4 linked regions of the Arabidopsis thaliana genome follow. The protein of the gene in region 1 interacts with the protein of each later gene in a pairwise test. Each region holds a gene or a part of one and is shown in the gene's direction. Other genes may lie near its edges.

What was found.
Region 2: the proteins of WAT1 (region 1) and AT5G66080 interact in a protein complementation assay, tested with the Arabidopsis thaliana proteins (one large-scale study listed by BioGRID).
Region 3: the proteins of WAT1 (region 1) and AT1G61620 interact in a protein complementation assay, tested with the Arabidopsis thaliana proteins (one large-scale study listed by BioGRID).
Region 4: the proteins of WAT1 (region 1) and AT5G44960 interact in a protein complementation assay, tested with the Arabidopsis thaliana proteins (one large-scale study listed by BioGRID).

What each region holds. Positions count from the first base shown.
Region 1 is NC_003070.9:28,337,179-28,342,254, reverse strand, and holds WAT1 (Walls Are Thin 1), read left to right. Parts: upstream 1-1,979; 5' UTR 1,980-2,163; coding exon 2,164-2,378; intron 2,379-2,475; coding exon 2,476-2,538; intron 2,539-2,615; coding exon 2,616-2,732; intron 2,733-2,991; coding exon 2,992-3,412; intron 3,413-3,506; coding exon 3,507-3,658; intron 3,659-3,771; coding exon 3,772-3,973; 3' UTR 3,974-4,067; exon of another isoform or gene 4,068-4,473; 3' UTR 4,474-4,529; downstream 4,530-5,076. UniProt on the Arabidopsis thaliana protein: Required for secondary wall formation in fibers, especially in short days conditions. Promotes indole metabolism and transport (e.g. tryptophan, neoglucobrassicin and auxin (indole-3-acetic acid)). May prevent salicylic-acid (SA) accumulation.
Region 2 is NC_003076.8:26,422,725-26,427,355, reverse strand, and holds AT5G66080 (Protein phosphatase 2C family protein), read left to right. Parts: upstream 1-1,907; 5' UTR 1,908-2,324; coding exon 2,325-2,646; intron 2,647-2,702; exon of another isoform or gene 2,703-2,715; coding exon of another isoform or gene 2,716-2,725; coding exon 2,726-3,093; intron 3,094-3,236; coding exon 3,237-3,473; intron 3,474-3,548; coding exon 3,549-3,779; 3' UTR 3,780-4,112; downstream 4,113-4,631. Other genes in the region: AT5G66090 (cell wall integrity/stress response component), read right to left, coding at 401-594, 690-767, 861-918, 995-1,131, 1,360-1,525; AT5G66070 (RING/U-box superfamily protein), read right to left, coding at 4,323-4,445, 4,613-4,631. UniProt on the Arabidopsis thaliana protein: May dephosphorylate and repress plasma membrane H(+)-ATPases (PM H(+)-ATPases, e.g. AHA1 and AHA2), thus influencing negatively plant growth and fitness.
Region 3 is NC_003070.9:22,735,555-22,739,980, forward strand, and holds AT1G61620 (phosphoinositide binding protein), read left to right. Parts: upstream 1-1,920; 5' UTR 1,921-2,098; coding exon 2,099-2,337; intron 2,338-2,961; coding exon 2,962-3,655; 3' UTR 3,656-3,889; downstream 3,890-4,426. Other genes in the region: AT1G61610 (S-locus lectin protein kinase family protein), read left to right, coding at 76-313, 402-549, 647-955. UniProt on the Arabidopsis thaliana protein: RING-finger E3 ubiquitin-protein ligase that plays an major role in maintaining COP1 homeostasis in darkness. Negatively regulates COP1 protein accumulation by targeting COP1 for ubiquitination and subsequent proteasomal degradation in dark-grown seedlings.
Region 4 is NC_003076.8:18,152,234-18,155,930, forward strand, and holds AT5G44960 (F-box/RNI-like/FBD-like domains-containing protein), read left to right. Parts: upstream 1-1,618; coding exon 1,619-2,233; intron 2,234-2,308; coding exon 2,309-2,536; intron 2,537-2,615; coding exon 2,616-2,756; intron 2,757-2,891; coding exon 2,892-3,158; downstream 3,159-3,697. Other genes in the region: AT5G44950 (F-box/RNI-like/FBD-like domains-containing protein), read left to right, coding at 1-331, 430-570, 656-931; AT5G44970 (Protein with RNI-like/FBD-like domain), read left to right, coding at 3,604-3,697.

The sequences.
Region 1 (5,076 bases):
ACTAGATGTATTAAAATGTTAAGGTAAATATCTTTGTTATTGTTCATAAAAAAAAAAGATTTTTGTAATAGAAATGGAATATAATGAAGTAATGAAAATTCCATATTGTTATATTTTGTTATGTTTTACATGTTGCTGCATATAGTTTATCTAAAACAGATTTGTGACAAAATAATATTCCATGAACAATTTTTGCCATGATATTTCTTTTGTCGTGATACATTCGTGGAAGGAAAGAAAAATACATATTTGGTTTGTTTTCACGTGGATATGCACATGTTTCTGTGTACAATTTACTAAATTGGTTTCTCTGGGTTTACATTGTCGATCTCTCCAAAAATAACAAGACAAAAAGAAAGAGAAAAATGAAAGCATATACAAGCAAGCAACCATAAAATTTTCGATGATTCTATTCTATAGGGATACAAATGTATTTGACTATTGGAAAACAATTACACACGTCTATTCGATGAGCACAAAAAAATAGAACTAAAATAAATTAACAAGAAAAATAAAACTAAAATAATTGAGGACAAATACAGATAATAATATTGGTGTAAGCGTGTACATAAATATTGATCGTGTGGGTGTGCCTGCGAAATAAGAGGTACTGTGGGTCTCACGGTTCGGCAGTGCGCGTGGGGCTCGTCCCTACAAAATTAATTATGTAACATAAATAAAATCAAGAAATATATTTACCAAAAAAGAAAGTAAATAAAAGATGTTAAAACGAAATGTCGTACATTTATAATTAAGAGTGTTATTCTCCTGAAGACTATACTGTACAAGTAATAATTAGTAGCAATGCCATGCTGCTCAATAAATATCAAAGGAAAGGACAAACTAAAACCATTATAATGTCTACGATAGTGAGTGCAAATTGAGGAATAGAGTCGTAAATAATGATATATTTTGTGCTTTTTCTATTGTTATTTTTACCTTTTTGATTTTCAGAATTAAATGATTTTAGATATACAAAAAATTAAGAATCATAATGATGGTTGCGTTAATGAGTAGTGGCGTGAGGGTTGTCATGTCAGCTAAACAGCAGAAAAATAAAAGAATGTGGGAGACAGGCTTTGCCCTTTTACACATTTTTAAGCTCTCTTCTTTATTTTCTAAAAACACTATAGTACACAGTTAAAAATTTGCGGGCCCTTTGTTTAATCGATTTAGATTTAACCAACAGCTTCATAGTCGTTTCTTCTTGTTAGAAATCAATAAATGAAAAGTTGGTTGTTTTGAAAGCATATAATTAACTAACAATGTATCATGTTGTGAAACAAAAGCTGATGATAAATGTTAAATATAGTGTCCAAAATTTTGGGAATGTCTTCAAATTTTGATTTTAAAACATATGAGATGTACCAACATCCACAAAATGTTTGTGAAGTTGTGACTTAGTGAGACGTTGTCACTTTATTATCTCGTTTTGGTAACGGTAAGTGCATGTGAACGTGTTTGATTATAAGTTTAACCCGACTTTGTTTACGTGGTCATAGTTTCCAATAAGGCTAAGTAGAATAGTGTATGATAGTTTTCAATTCAAGAGTCTTTTTTTTCCAAGAAAATCCGAAAACACAATCGTTTATTTTAATATCTCAAAAGAAATCATATTTCTTAGGTAAAACTATCATACGTTGAGTTTTTCTTTCTCCTTTTGCGATTTTCCCTGAAATATATTTATGTTGTGTGTGTGCTTTGTAAACAAAATAATAATGAACGTAATAATAGTAAAACAAAAAGTAACCTATATTATTATCATACTTGATATAACCCAATAGAGAAATAATAATATAAATTAAAATTTTATTTCCCAATTCAAAAATCATAATCAAGGAGTGAATGCTGCCAGTAGACCAAAGTAACAATATTTGGTGTGTACATCAAATGATAGGAAACAACAAAAACTCATTAATATACCTAAATCCATATATATATATATATATATATATTTCAATATTTCACATTGTTATAATTAGGTTTAATAGATACCATATTAGAAATCTCAGTATGGTGGTTCCCACAAGCAAAGAGGGGAATGAGATTGCTATCTACCTATATTTATATCTCCGCAACTTCACTCTTTTCCTCAATCAACACACACAAACACACACACACACAGCCTTTTTCCTTCGTTGATCGATTGTTAAGCTCGATCCAATGGCGGATAACACCGATAATCGGAGATCCTTATGGGGAGTTCCGGAGAAGCTTCAGCTTCACATAGCGATGCTGACGTTGCAATTCGGTTACGCCGGATTCCACGTGGTGTCTCGAGCTGCTCTTAACATGGGAATCAGCAAACTCGTCTTCCCTGTTTATCGTAACATCATCGCCTTGCTTCTTCTCCTTCCCTTCGCTTACTTCCTTGAAAAGTAACCTTCTATTTTCACTTCACTTCTTTATTTGAAAACCCTATTTTTTCTCTAGTTGCTAGTTATTTAATTACCAAACTTAATTGTGTTAATTTAGGAAGGAGAGACCAGCGATTACTCTCAACTTTCTCATCCAGTTCTTCTTTTTGGCACTCATAGGGTATATATTTATATCCTTCACTCTGATCTTTTCAATAACAAATTTGGATAATTAGTTAATGAATTATTACACGACAGAATAACAGCGAACCAAGGATTTTACTTGTTGGGACTGGACAACACTTCACCAACATTTGCTTCCTCCATGCAAAACTCTGTTCCCGCCATTACCTTTCTCATGGCTGCTCTTCTCAGGCACTTACTCTACACATCTCTCCATTTTCATTCTCTTTTGATTTATAAAAATAAATAACAATATTTTGGACAGCTTGGATATACAAGAACCACTTTAATAATGTCCATTTGACTTTTCAACGTAAAAGAAACGGATAATAATACACGTAGACAATATTTAATGCCGTTTCCATTTGCTTACAAAATAGTGATAATCATAGTAGTAACAACAATGTAACATACTGTTTATGTACTGTATGTGAAAAAAACAATAATTCAGGATTGAGAAAGTAAGAATAAACAGAAGAGACGGTATCTCCAAAATCTTAGGAACAGCTCTTTGTGTCGCCGGAGCTTCCGTCATCACCCTCTATAAAGGTCCAACCATCTACACTCCGGCTAGCCACCTCCACGCTCATCTACTCACCACAAACTCCGCCGTCTTAGCGCCGCTAGGAAACGCCGCGCCTAAAAACTGGACCCTTGGTTGCATCTACCTAATCGGTCACTGTCTCTCGTGGTCAGGCTGGCTTGTTTTCCAAGCTCCGGTTCTTAAGTCTTATCCAGCGAGGCTCTCGGTTACGTCTTACACTTGTTTCTTCGGAATCATTCAGTTCTTGATCATTGCTGCTTTCTGTGAAAGAGATTCTCAGGCTTGGGTTTTTCACTCCGGTTGGGAGCTTTTCACCATCCTCTACGCCGTTAGTTTTTCTTTCATCTGTTATAATTAATTCGTTTTTGGCCCTAATGTTTCAAAATAATCAATTTGGTCCTAATGAATTGATTTAACTTCAGGGAATCGTAGCGTCTGGAATCGCGTTTGCGGTTCAGATTTGGTGTATTGACAGAGGGGGTCCAGTCTTCGTTGCTGTTTACCAGCCTGTTCAGACTCTTGTCGTTGCGATCATGGCTTCTATTGCGTTAGGCGAAGAATTTTATTTGGGCGGGTATGAAACTATAATAATATTAGTGGTTTATATAAATACTTGATAAAATCCAAGGTCCTAAACAAGAATAATTTTAAAATTTGTTGTGCCACATGTCATATTTCTAATGGCAGGATTATTGGAGCGGTCTTGATCATAGCGGGACTTTACTTCGTATTGTACGGTAAGAGCGAAGAGAGGAAATTTGCAGCGCTTGAGAAGGCAGCGATCCAGTCCTCCGCGGAGCATGGTATTGAACGTGCACCTGTTTCTCGCAACTCCATCAAGTCGTCCATCACAACACCACTACTCCATCAGTCAACGGACAATGTTTGACTACTTTGGACAAATCACTCTCCAGCTAATAATTACAAATGCCATTACCCAATTAAAAGGGAACAATGGTGTGCCGTTGTGTTTTATGACTTTTGTGTCTGCTTTTTTTCTTAGTGTTTTCTCTTCTTTTTTTTTTCTAAAAAATTATTAATTACCTAAGAAAGGTTTTTGAAGAAAGGAAAAAAAATGGTGGATGAGACATCATTGTTCATGAGGATGATGATGATGATGATAGTGATGAAGAAGACTATGTGGGAGCTTTGGATTGAGACTTTTCTATATATAATATCTGGCTGATATATTAGTGCCATTTTTTCTTACATTTCTTGTGGGGTTTTTCTTTCCTTTATCATCAATAGAATGTTATAATTTGCATTTATGATCTTTAGTAATTATCACTGTCGGGGATGTTTAAAATGGATTAGATCAAACGCTTTGTTCTGAACTGAAGTAAAAAAAGATCTTTAGTATTTGATTAAAATGATCTCTTAAAGAAACAGTTTTTTTTTACAAATTTAGTTTATTATCAAATATCCAATAAAAATTCTTAACCGAATGAACAAGTTAAAAATAAACCAACATTTAATATATATAATATAATATGGACCAACTAAGTTATAGTATGGACCAATTCTTGAGTTGAAAGTCCATAGATTTTAACATGGTATTAAAGTTTAGCTAACTTGAGAAAGATGTGTTGTTCGATATATAATTTTTGGTCCAATATTAGAATTTTGTTTGAAATAGACGGATAAAAGCATTATTTTAAGGAGAACGTGTTAAAAATTTCACATATACACTTCAATGCTCTACATTATCTTTCTTGGTTTTCTCGGATCAGCTTACACGTCAGCTTTTTACATATAAAATATCATCTTTTAATTTGATGTAAACAAGAAGTTCATTAACAGAATTTCATATCTTATTTACCTTATACAAATAAATTTCATTAACAAAAGAAATTCATATACATAAGGAAAAACACAGTGCATAAGCGACTTTGTCTCATAATCGTTATCTGGCATAGGTTAGTCTACCATGTGGATTCAAGATTTCGTATTTGAATCCATTAGTTAAATCATATATAGCCCGTTATTGGAGAC
Region 2 (4,631 bases), on another chromosome or scaffold:
TAACAAATCCCTGTTTTAACTTTTGACGTGCCTATCAAATTTATAAGTTGTGTTTATTAAGCCTCCTGTAGTAATTTGATTCTATTCTACATGTACCAAGTAATTCATTAGGGGATAAGATTAAAAAGATTTTCTCTTCTAATTGAGTTTTTTTTTTTTTTTTTTTTTTTTTTTTTTTTTTTTTTTTAATTTGTGGCCGAACACGTTAGTATGTGAGTAACGGAGAAAACAAAGGACACAACAACAACAACCATGATAAGACAGGAAATGCTTGACACATGCATCTCACACCTTGACACATTTCCATCCCCTCTCCTAGTAATGCTCTTCTACGGCAACCAAACACAGAGAAAAATAAAACAAGTGGTATGTCTATCATATAAGCATTTGGCGGGAGCGATCACAAGGGCAAGAGGAGGACGGGGCAGGGGATGAACTCAGCGAGTAGATTGGCGTCAATGTACTTAGAGTGGATGGCTTCCATGCTCATCACCACCAGCTCCATCTTCAGCTCATCTGCCACCTCTCCTATTATGGCCGTCGCTTTTTTCCCTTCCCCAAGCCTCTCCAACAGCTTGAACTCCTCGAACCCACCTGCAACCACCACATTATAGTTAACCTTTCTTCAATAAGGGATTCCAACACTATAGTTTACCTACAATTTCCTACAAGTAATTCCTCAATTTTACCTTCAGACAAATGCCACCGGATGTTGGATACTTGAGTCTCATGCTCCGAAGATGATTCTCTCTTTTCTTCGTCAATGACTGAATCAACAACGGTGGTCACAGATGATCAACACGGCTATATAATTCATATGATACATAAGGGGATATTAATGCAACACTAATTGTTCTTACCTACAACTGTGATATCAGCTCCATACTTCTTTGCCAAGCTGGTTGTTGTAGCAGCAGCCTATCAAATTAAGTGTAATCAGCTTTTTTGTTTGGTGTCAACATGTTCTCAAAAAGATAACAAGCTAAACAATAACCTGTCTGGTGCCTTCAGAAAGATAAGGATTCCGATCAATCACCGGCAGGAGAAGATGCTTCACATTACTGAATGCGTCTCCCACTCCCACTGGACTTGGACTAGCTTCTGCTTCTTTTGCCTGCGCCTTTACTCGACCTAAGCTAACCACAAACTAATCATTGTTGGCTCATCAACAAACTAACCATATCAACAACTACTCATTACGATTGTGCTAATTTGAATCACTCCCCTCTTCGTTGTCCCAAACTATATTAAAATTCAAACTGGAAATGCGACTGTACCCAACAAAGGTAGAATTGGACTATTACGTTTAGGAGAAGCAACTCGTATTCCAAATAAACAGAGAAAAAGAAGAGAAGATACCTTTGAGAGCGACACTGCGTAGGGAGAGAAGCTGCTGGCGAGGTTTAGATCGAAGAGAAGAAAGAGGGTAGAGCGCAGAGGAAGAAGAAGAAGAAGAAGGAAGTGTTGCTTGCTTGGAGGCCGCATCGAGAACAGAAACGGCGGCTATGGAGTGAGCAGATGCCATTGAAGTTGCGACGGAGTTCAGCAACTATCGCGACGATTCCAGAAAACAAACTTTTTTTTTGTTCTCTTATTTTGGTTCTGCCCACGGCTTGGACTAGAGTATCGGTGAGGGGCTTGAATTCTTCTTATAAGGCCGAAGCTATATATTAAATTTATTAACGGGCCATATATTGAAAAATATCAAATAGAAAGGGCCCATATAATCAAAGCCCAATAAGGGGATGCATTGGTCAAAGGGTTTGAAACTTTGAATTGAATAGAGTTAACAATGGTGGTGCAAGGCAAGAAGGAAATAATAATAATGAGAACAGCTATTGTATGTTTGTAAATCCCACATGGGAGGAGTTAAGGAGTGCACGTGCACACGTATGTGTGTCTTCTTGTCCTTTCTTTGATGGTCAAATATAGAAGAAGAGTTATTTGAGAGAGAGAGAGAGAGGCTCTGGAAATCTTGTGATCCATAAATTGTCTCTCTTCTTTTCCTCTGTTCTCATATACAAGGAAAAGGGCTTCCTCTGTTCTGTTCCTAATAAATATCTGAAATCAAAAACAGAGAGAGTCTTTTCTTTTTTTCTTTCACTCTATCTCTCTCCACACATGTTACTTACAACTTAATAGTTTCTCTATATCTCCTTGAGATCTCCATCCAGCTGTTGCTTTTTTTACTAAACAAAACTCCTCTTTGTGTGAGTGAATGAATGGAAGTTTCCGACTCTCTCTTCTTTTGTTTTTTCAACATACTTCATTCATTCATTTTAGCATAACAATCGGTGGTTGGGGATGATATGAGATGAGGCCCGATGTTATCCCTTTTCTTCAACTTTTTGACCTCTTGTCTCTGGCCCTCTTCTTCCACCACTTCCCACACTTATTCTGATTCCAAAGGCAAACAAGACGGCCTTCTCTGGTACAAAGACTCTGCTCACCACCTTTTTGGTGATTTCTCCATGGCCGTTGTCCAGGCCAACAACCTCCTCGAGGATCAGAGCCAGGTCGAATCCGGTCCTTTGACCACCCTCTCTTCTTCTGGTCCCTATGGAACCTTTGTTGGCGTCTATGACGGCCACGGAGGCCCTGAGACCTCCCGTTTTGTCAACGATCATCTCTTTCACCATCTCAAGAGTAACTACTTGTTGTTACTACTCACCACTGAATTTTATTTAGCTAGGGAACCATTGGAACTGAACATTCATGTCTGCAGGATTCGCAGCGGAGCAGGATTCCATGTCTGTGGATGTGATAAGAAAGGCCTATGAGGCAACCGAAGAAGGGTTTCTAGGGGTGGTGGCCAAGCAGTGGGCAGTGAAGCCACATATAGCAGCGGTTGGCTCTTGTTGCCTGATCGGTGTGGTCTGCGATGGGAAGCTTTACGTAGCTAACGTTGGGGACTCCCGTGCGGTTTTGGGAAAGGTCATCAAGGCCACAGGTGAGGTTAATGCGCTTCAGCTCTCAGCTGAGCATAACGTGAGCATAGAGTCTGTGAGGCAGGAAATGCACTCCTTACACCCTGATGACTCCCATATTGTCGTCTTAAAACACAATGTCTGGCGTGTTAAGGGCATTATTCAGGTGCCGCTCTCTACAAAGAGATCTTCTTATGCTATAAAATCTGAGCCAATATTATTATGTCATGTTCCTTCACTGAGTTGGATAAGCTATTATTGTTGGCCACTTGTCAAATCTTGAAAGCTTAGTTGTCTGTGTGTTTGCAGGTATCACGATCCATAGGAGACGTGTATCTTAAGAAATCGGAGTTCAACAAGGAACCTTTGTACACAAAGTACCGATTGCGGGAGCCAATGAAAAGACCTATCTTGAGTTGGGAACCGTCGATAACCGTGCATGATCTCCAACCAGACGATCAGTTTCTGATATTTGCATCAGACGGACTTTGGGAGCAGCTTAGCAACCAAGAGGCTGTTGAAATCGTTCAGAACCACCCAAGAAACGTATGAGACACTCTCAGTTTCTAAACATATATAGATGATTTTTTCTAAAGAGTAAATGTGAGAATGCTGATGCAGGGGATAGCGAGGAGACTGGTGAAAGCTGCGCTGCAGGAGGCAGCAAAGAAAAGAGAGATGAGATATTCTGATCTCAACAAGATTGAGAGAGGAGTCAGGAGGCATTTCCATGACGACATCACTGTGGTCGTCCTCTTCCTGGACACCAATCTGCTCAGCAGAGCCTCCTCTCTTAAAACCCCTTCTGTTTCTATCCGTGGTGGTGGTATCACTTTACCTAAGAAACTTTAAAACCAGGCTCCATCCATCTTCTAGTTATATTTATCCAACCAAAGATATGTGTTTTTTTTTTCTTTCTTTATGTTTTTTTGTCTTTTTGGGTTCACTCTTCCTGGTATAAGAAATGTATAATTTAAAACTGAAGCTATTGACATGTTGGATCTCATGCCAAATATTTTTGTACTCGGACTAGTTCATGTAAAATGTATTATCTCTCTTCTTAGTTCTTAAGAGTAGAGCATTGTTTTCGACGACAAGGATATGTATGTATATATGCTTTTTCATTTGGGATTTAGTCTATGCAAAACCGATCCCAAACTTTCTAAAATTGGGAAGTGCAGCATGTCCTTTTTGAATGATGAAGCCAAGAATAAGTAGCATAAATAAACAGGATCTCCAAGAGATGAGTGAAGTTACAATGATTGGTGCATCAAAATCTGTGTAACGTGTAATCTAAAAAAAATCAAGGAAGACTACTAGTGTGTATATATGTGTGTGTGTGTATGCCTATACCTCATGTACAAAGAAGAGAAGAAAGAAGAGTTCAAAATCAATTCAAAGATGTCTTCTGCACAAGGGACAAGAAGCATGCCTGCGAAGCCATTTGTCGATGCATGGTAGGTGGAACATATGATGGCAGTGCGGCAAACTTCTAACTGTCTCTCCCACCTGAAAGTCCTGTTTCGTCACCTCAATTTTAATTAATTTTGTCTTTCAACCACTTGTCACCTAATAGAAACATCTAGAACCTCTCTCAACCTTTTGCAACAATATATAATGGTTTCTTCTAATCTACGTTCCGCGGAAGATGATGTTCAAAAGCAGAGGGGGGAAGTGAGACAAACCTGAAGGCAGACAGAGCAA
Region 3 (4,426 bases), 5.6 Mb from region 1:
TATGTTTTTTTCTAAACAATTTCAATTAAAATGTTTTGAAAATGTTCGGATTGAGTATATAATGACTCTGCGCAGATGAGAGTAAACAAGGAAGTTTGGACTGGAGAAAACGATGGGAGGTCATTGGAGGAATCGCGAGGGGATTACTTTACTTACATAGAGACTCAAGACTAAAGATCATTCACCGTGACCTAAAAGCTAGCAATATCTTGCTAGACACGGAAATGAATCCAAAGATCTCGGATTTCGGTATGGCTAGGATATTCAACTACCGACAAGACCATGCCAACACAATCCGAGTCGTCGGCACATAGTAACTTAACAAACCTCTTTATCTCCTCTAAATTAAACAATATCGAACTCTATCAATTTTTAATGATTTTGATGTTCAACAAGTGTAGTGGTTATATGGCTCCGGAGTATGCAATGGAAGGGATATTCTCAGAGAAATCAGATGTGTATAGCTTTGGAGTGTTGATATTGGAGATTGTGAGTGGAAGAAAAAACGTTAGCTTTCGAGGGACTGATCATGGAAGTCTCATTGGTTATGTACGTCTCTTTTCTTTAACCATAAATTTTCAGGTCTAACTAAAATATTCGAATATTTGTTACTAATGAATGTTCTAAACGGAAAAAAAAAAATAAGGCGTGGCATTTATGGAGCCAAGGAAAGACAAAAGAGATGATAGATCCAATTGTGAAGGACACTAGAGACGTGACGGAAGCGATGAGATGCATCCACGTGGGTATGTTGTGTACACAAGACTCGGTCATTCACAGACCAAACATGGGTTCGGTTTTGTTGATGTTGGAGAGTCAAACCAGTCAACTTCCACCCCCGAGACAGCCGACCTTCCACTCGTTCTTGAACTCTGGTGACATTGAACTCAACTTTGACGGTCACGATGTTGCCTCCGTTAACGATGTTACTTTCACAACAATTGTTGGTAGATGACTCACTGACCAGAAGTTATTTTTCCCCAAAACGCTCTTTGACTATCCATTTGGTCTCGAACTCTTTTCTCCATAGTTTTCAACTTTTTATACATAATTAAATTCTTCGTTGAAAATATTATAATACATGTACATTGACGATGAAAAACTAATCGGATTTGTACACAACATACTTTTAGCAACAAAAGAGAAGAAGCTCAACAACATACTTAATTGTGAAGAAAAAAGCGTTGTTGTTCGAACATGAATTGGAGAAGTTGGAATATGGACAAAGGTAGTGGCATCGAAGGAGGAATTTCCAGTGATTTGAGATTTAATGAGTTTTAAGATGATTTTGTTGAATTTTAGGGAATTAGAAAATTTGTTATTAAATTTATAAAAATCTTCCCTTAAATCATATGATTTGGACATTTGTATTCTTAATTTTTTTTTTTTTGACATCTCACATATTTCTTTTTTAAAAAACTGTAAAACCATAAAAAAAAAAAAATTATTTACGGTTTCTATATGATTATAGCTTTTATAAAACTAAAAACCGTAAAACCAAAAAACCGAAGTGAAACCAAACCGAAAAACGGTATGCCCATCCCTAGGGCTAGTAATGAAATCAACACTCTTGAAGTGGAGTTATCTACATTTTTATGTTTGATTATAAATTATATTTTTCCACCCATTTGTAAAAATCCTATTTAAAAGAGAAAATTTTCATTTATAACTAAGTTCTCATTTGTGAACAATGTTGGTTGATTTGATTCTACATTTTAAAATTAATAATCCAATAACACTTGAGTTTTACAAACTTTTTAAATTCATGTTTGAATAACACAAGATTTTAATACAAATCACACCAAAACCTTTATTCAAGATTTTATTTTACCTATCTCTCCTAGTAAACATAACCAAAAAAGTGGTAATAACTCTTGCTGAAAAAAACAAATGGTAATAATTAGGAACCGTTAGATTAGATTCATATCGGACGGTAAAGGCTGTGATACCATCACCGACTTACATGAGAACGAAACACTGGAAAACTCAATTCCCCAATTTCTCCAATCTGAGAAAATAGGGTTTCCGATTTGGATCCTTAATTCAGACACCTGACTCGTCTTCTCATCCTACCCCCAATTCAATATTCGTCGCCAATATGCCGCAAAGACACTCGAAGAACAACAATGATCTTGCGTATTTCACTTACGACGAGAAGAAGAAGTTAGGTTATGGAACTCAGAGAGAGAGATTGGGGAGAGACTCGATCAAACCCTTTGATGCTTGTTCTCTCTGCTTGAAGCCTTTCATTGATCCGATGTGTTGCCATAAGGGTCATGTCTTTTGCAGAGAGTGTATACTTGAATGTTTCCTTGCTCAGAAGAAAGATATCCAAAGGTATAAACTTTTTGGAGTTTTCTTTCAAAAGTTTGGAACTTTAAGTTCCTTTGTTATGTATTTATGAAACACTTTGGATTTGTGATTGAAGTTTCTAGCTTTAGTATCTATATAGGATTGTTGAATTCCTCATGAATCTGGTGTGAATTGGATGATTGAGGTTCTTAGATCAAGTCATGGATTAGATCAAGTCTCTTTAGCATCACTCTGATAACAAAGATCTGATATTTAATGCTTGAATAGTGTTTGTTTAAAGGAGTACTGGTTTTGTTACTACTAGTCCCACAGTTTTTGAGAAGGAGAAGCTGGTAACTTTACTTGAGTTTTGGCATGAAAGCTTGGATAAACGTATGGAGTGATAACTAAAGTAATGTTAGAGTTGATTTTGATGCTTCTGTTTTGGGTTTAATGAGTACGGGTCTCAGGGTTAGCCTATGGTTGCATATGATTGTTTGAGTTTGTATATAAATAACCACCGGTGTAGAAACTGTTGGAGCTGACTCTCCTCACTTGTTAGGACCTGTTGGGAATTTTAAAATTACATATTTTAAAAAGATTTTGTGTCTGATTTATCTTTGCTCTGTATATTTAAGATACTGATATGTAGTGCTGAGATGTCTATAGGAGGCTTGCTGCACATTCGTCTCAAAAGAAGCAAGATAAGGATGAAGAAGAAGAGAGGCTAATGTTACAAAAGGCGAGAGAGCTCGACGAATTTGATCAGCAAAACCATAGTGCAATGCCTCGAAACAGTGACAAGAATCACAACGAAGATAAGAATGGTTTTCATGGGGCAAACAGTGTGAAGACGACTTCCTTTGAAGAAGAAGCGCTTAGGACAATGAAAGCCTTCTGGCTCCCATCAGCTACACCAGCAGCTTCGGTCAGAGTAGATGCTCCAGAAACTCACACAGTCTGTCCAGAGGGCAAAGAGAAGCTCAAGCTTAAGAACCTCTTTGCAATTCGTTTCACAGAAGACAACAGCGAAGAGGAAGAGACCAAGACAAAATCAGCATCTTCAAGCTCTTATGATAAATCCTACATCTGCCCGAGCTGCAAAGTCACTCTCACCAACACAATGTCCCTCGTGGCACTTAGCTCATGCGGACATGTTTTCTGCAAGAAGTGTGCTGAGAAGTTTATGCCCGTCGACAAAGTCTGTCTTGTGTGTGACAAACCTTGCAAGGATAGGAACTTGGTTGGGTTAAAGAAAGGAGGCACGGGTTTCGCTGAGCACGACGATCATCTTGAGGCTAAGGAGTACAAGCATTTGGGTAGTGGATCTGGTTTGGGGCTTGTGAGGCCGGTTAAGACATGATGTAACCACATCAAATGTTCTGTTCCAGTTACAGAAAATATCCTTGATTTTGTAATACTTATGGCTTGTATCCTTTGCTACAACTAAGAGACGCTGCTTTCTCCATTTTGGCTCTTGGTTTGTCCTTTTGATCGGATCCTATTTGTGTTTCTTCCCTACGGAGATCAAATGGAAATTTAACATTTAAGTAATTGATCAATTCAAATATTCTTCTTTTAGGCTATGAACATGCAGAGATAGAAATGATCAATGAGCTGTTCAAAATATTGGCCCATAAATTATCTCAAACATAAGACAGGTTGTTACGATCTCAGTTTATAATGTCCATCCCCGTATTATTATTTGTTTCAATTTCTCTTGTAGTTGTGGCTGATACGTACGTTTAGGATCACAGAATATCACAAGGAAGCTCCAGGTTAGTAAATTTACATAATGTGCTTAGCTTTCATCAATGTAAATTAAAATTGATTTGGATTATGATGGGTGAATATATGGACTAGGGTAAGTTTAAAGTAGTGGTGGTATGTTGTATCCTAGGAATAAGAAAACTTGTAGCACTAGCATGGAACACAATCCTCACCATTTTTGATTATTAGTACCAAGTCTTGCATGTAAGTCTCATTTTGCATAAATTTTTATAGAAGTGTAAAAAACCAAATTGTCTGACTATATATATTTTTCATACAAATATTCTTCTCATATATATTTACTTGGTATTTAAACATTTTATTTGTTTGTTCATGTTAACGTTTAATTTTCAATAATTAAAAT
Region 4 (3,697 bases), on another chromosome or scaffold:
GGATTTTCTTAACTTTCTGCGTGTGATGTCTCAAACTTTGAAGAACTTCCGTTTAACATTTGATTGGGGAATGGGTAGTAACGATTTTTCGGTCGAGATTGATGCACCAGGACTTAAGTACATGAGTTTTAGAGATAGTCAATCTGATAGAATAGTTGTAAAAAATTTGAGTTCCTTGGTCAAGATAGACCTTGATACTGAATTTAATCTCAAGTTTGGCCTCGGCAGTCCTTTGGAACCGGAGGACTTGACTAAGAGAGATATTATCCGAGATTTTCTTACCGGTATTTCGAGTGTCAAACATATGATCATCTCTCATCCTACTCTGGAGGTACGTACCTATATATTTGAAGTCTCTGATGTATTATATAACACATTGATTAAATGTACTTTAATTTTTCACATGTATCATATTCATTATCCTTGCAGGTGCTTTATCGTTATTCCAAAATCGGACAGCTTCCAAAATTCCATAACTTATATCATTTGCAAGCTGTGTTCTCCAGCTCATTGTTACAACTATTGCCCGCCTTCCTAGAAATCTGCCCAAATCTAAAAAACCTCATCTTGGTAAGAATGTGTTTGAATATGTGATTTGGCTTACAATAAAGAACCTTGTTGAAGTATAGTGTAAACTCAGCTTGTTTCTTTGCAGGACTATTCTATTTCAGCAGAGCCAGAGCAAATCGACTTTACCAATCTGCCTCGGTGTTTAATTTCGACGCTGGAGTACGTTGAGATTAAACAACTTACTATGAGGGAGGAAAGTGGGATTAAATTGGTGAAATACTTTCTTGAGAATTCAGCAGTCCTCAAGAAACTGACTCTGAGTTTCATAGATTCTCCCATGACCAACCAAGAGTCAGAGATCTACATGCAGCTTCTTACATCAACAAAACGATCTCGTGGGTGTCATGTTTTGATCTTATAATGCTTAAAGGTCAAATTATTCAACTTTTCTTGCTTTAATCTCAGTTTCTATATTCTTAAGAAAGTTGCATTTATAGACAAGGTGGTTTAGGTTTAACTTGGGAATTAAAACCTCAGGTGGTAATATTGTCTTTTTGTATTTTTGAAACTATGGAATATTCATATGGTTAAAAGCCAATTTATCTATGCATTTTATTGTTTTGGATCATCATCGAAAATCGGTTCTGTGCTATATCTCTACCATGGACAAGTATGTCGTTGAAGTAGAAAATAAGAATTTACATCTATAATGGGCTTTTGCTCAAGGTATCTTAATATCTTATACTATTTCAATTTTTGGCCGAAATTATATATTGTACAGGTTTCAATAAGGTTTCGTAAACCGCAAGTAAGTTGCATTGGTCCTCTTTTGGTTTATGTTTTTTTTTATAGGGCCCTTTTGGCCCTAAACCCAAAAATAAGATAAACCCCCTCGTAGGATTTCTCGAACCTGATCGATTCAAGTATTTAACGATCATCTTTCTAATTATCAAATCAAATCAAATCAAATCTGCCGTCAAATCAAAGCCTAGTAGGATTTCTCCAACTCCGGCAATAATCTGCTGTCAAATCAAATCGACGGAGACGGTTATTTCTTCATTCCTCATCGCACGATTTTGATGTTGATGTTGTTGTTCAGGATCTAGGGATGGAGGAGTGCGATTATATCAACGAATTGCCTGATTCTTTACTAACTCAGATACTCTTAGACCTTCGGACCAAAGATTCTGTTAAGACAAGCGTGTCGTCGAAGAGATGGAGAAATCTTTGGTTAAACGTTCCTGGACTTGACTTATTCAGCCTTCAATTCACAAATCCTCATCATGAAGAAGGCTTGATAAAGTTTATGGACAGATTTATGGAGTCTAACTGCAGGTCACGCCTGCAAAAGTTCATGATAAGGTATTTCGAATGCAATGGTTATCGAGATCGATTCATGGAGTTGATCGGTACAGTGGTTGATTGTGGAATTCAACATTTGTATGTTTATATGCATACTTGTAATAGAGTTGATTTCATACGTCAAAACATTTACAAGAGCAAGACATTGGTCTCTTTGAAGCTTTATAACGTAGAGTTGAAGAATCCAGACTTTGTTGTTTCTCTACCTTGTCTCAAGATCTTGAAACTGATGAAAATTTGTTACGGTGAGGATGGCCCTTTGGTTGTGGAGAAGCTCATCTCAGGATGTCCTGTTCTTGAAGATCTTGAGCTGATTAAGCCTTTTGATATTTTGACTCAGGACGTTATACTGTTTCTGCGTGTGAGCTCTCAGACTCTGAAAAGCCTTCGTTTATATTTTGCGACCAATGGGAGTGGTACAGAGTTTTGAGTTGAGATTGATGCTCCACGACTCAAGTATATGACATTTTACGAGAGTCGATTTGATAGGATTATGGTAAAGAACATGAGTTCCTTGTTTAGTATCGAAATTAGAGCCAAATCTAGTTTTGAGTATGGCGGTCTTTTGAAAGCAGAGGATCCAAGAAAGAGAGCTATTATCTGTGATTTTTTAACCGTGATATCTAGTGTAAGGCATATGATCATTTCTGGGAGCATTCTAGAGGTATATTTAACAATTTATTGTATTTAATTCTGTATGAAAAAAATATCTTCACATGTAATTTTTGTATTTTTTGTTGCAGGAGCTACATTCTTATTCCAAACTAGGATGGATTCCCCAATTCCGTAACTTATATCATTTGCAGGCTTCGTTCTTCGGTACATCGTTACAACTATTGCCAACCTTTCTTGAGAGCTGCCCAAATCTGAAAAACCTAATCATGGTAAGAATCTGATGGATCTTTAATTTGGCAAACTAAGAATATTGTTGGAACATATTATGACATCTGCTTTGTAAGAATCTGCTTGAAATATGTGATTTAGCTACAGAACATTGTTTGAATCATATTTTTTCGTAGGACTATGGGGCATTTAAGGAAGAAAATATCGACTTTCACGAAGTGCCTCAGTGTTTGATATCGACTCTCGAGTATGTTCACATTAACAAACTGATGATGATGGAGCAAAGTGGGATTAAACTAGTAAATTACTTTATTGAGAATTCAGCAGTCCTCAAGAAACTTACTCTACGTTTCTCATTTTTTTCTTCTATAGAGAGCGAGAGCTACAAGAAGCTTCTTACATCAACAAAGCTTTCTCCCACATGTCAAGTTATCTTTGTTTGACATGCAGATGATGATGCTTGTTAGCACATGGTCTTGTTTCATCTTTTGTTGGTTTTGTTTCAATCTCAGGACAGAGAGTTACGCAGTTAAATTATATTTTTGTCTTTTTTCTTTAAGAATTAATATTTTAATTTCAACATATAATAATTGTAGTTTAGATATTATTAATTAATAACTAAAAGAAATTTCCATTTATCTAGTTGTACTAAAGAAAATTTTAATAGGGTTTGGATTCATAATTTATTTGCTATATAAAAGCAATTCGTTCTTCACATTAAAAACAAACAAAAAAAACAATTCGTTATTATTCATTCGGAGAGTTCTTCTGATTCCTGCTTTGATCGTTACGTTTCCTGTGATTGTTTAAACCCTAGAATTTGGAGAAATCTGAGCAAAACACCTTTTGATATTGTAGTTTTAGAAGCTTTTAGGGTTACGTCTCATAATGCGAAACGATATAATCAGCGAACTTCCAGATTCTTTGATAACTCAGATTCTTTTATGGCTTCCAACCAAAGATTCAGTTAAGACAAGTGTTT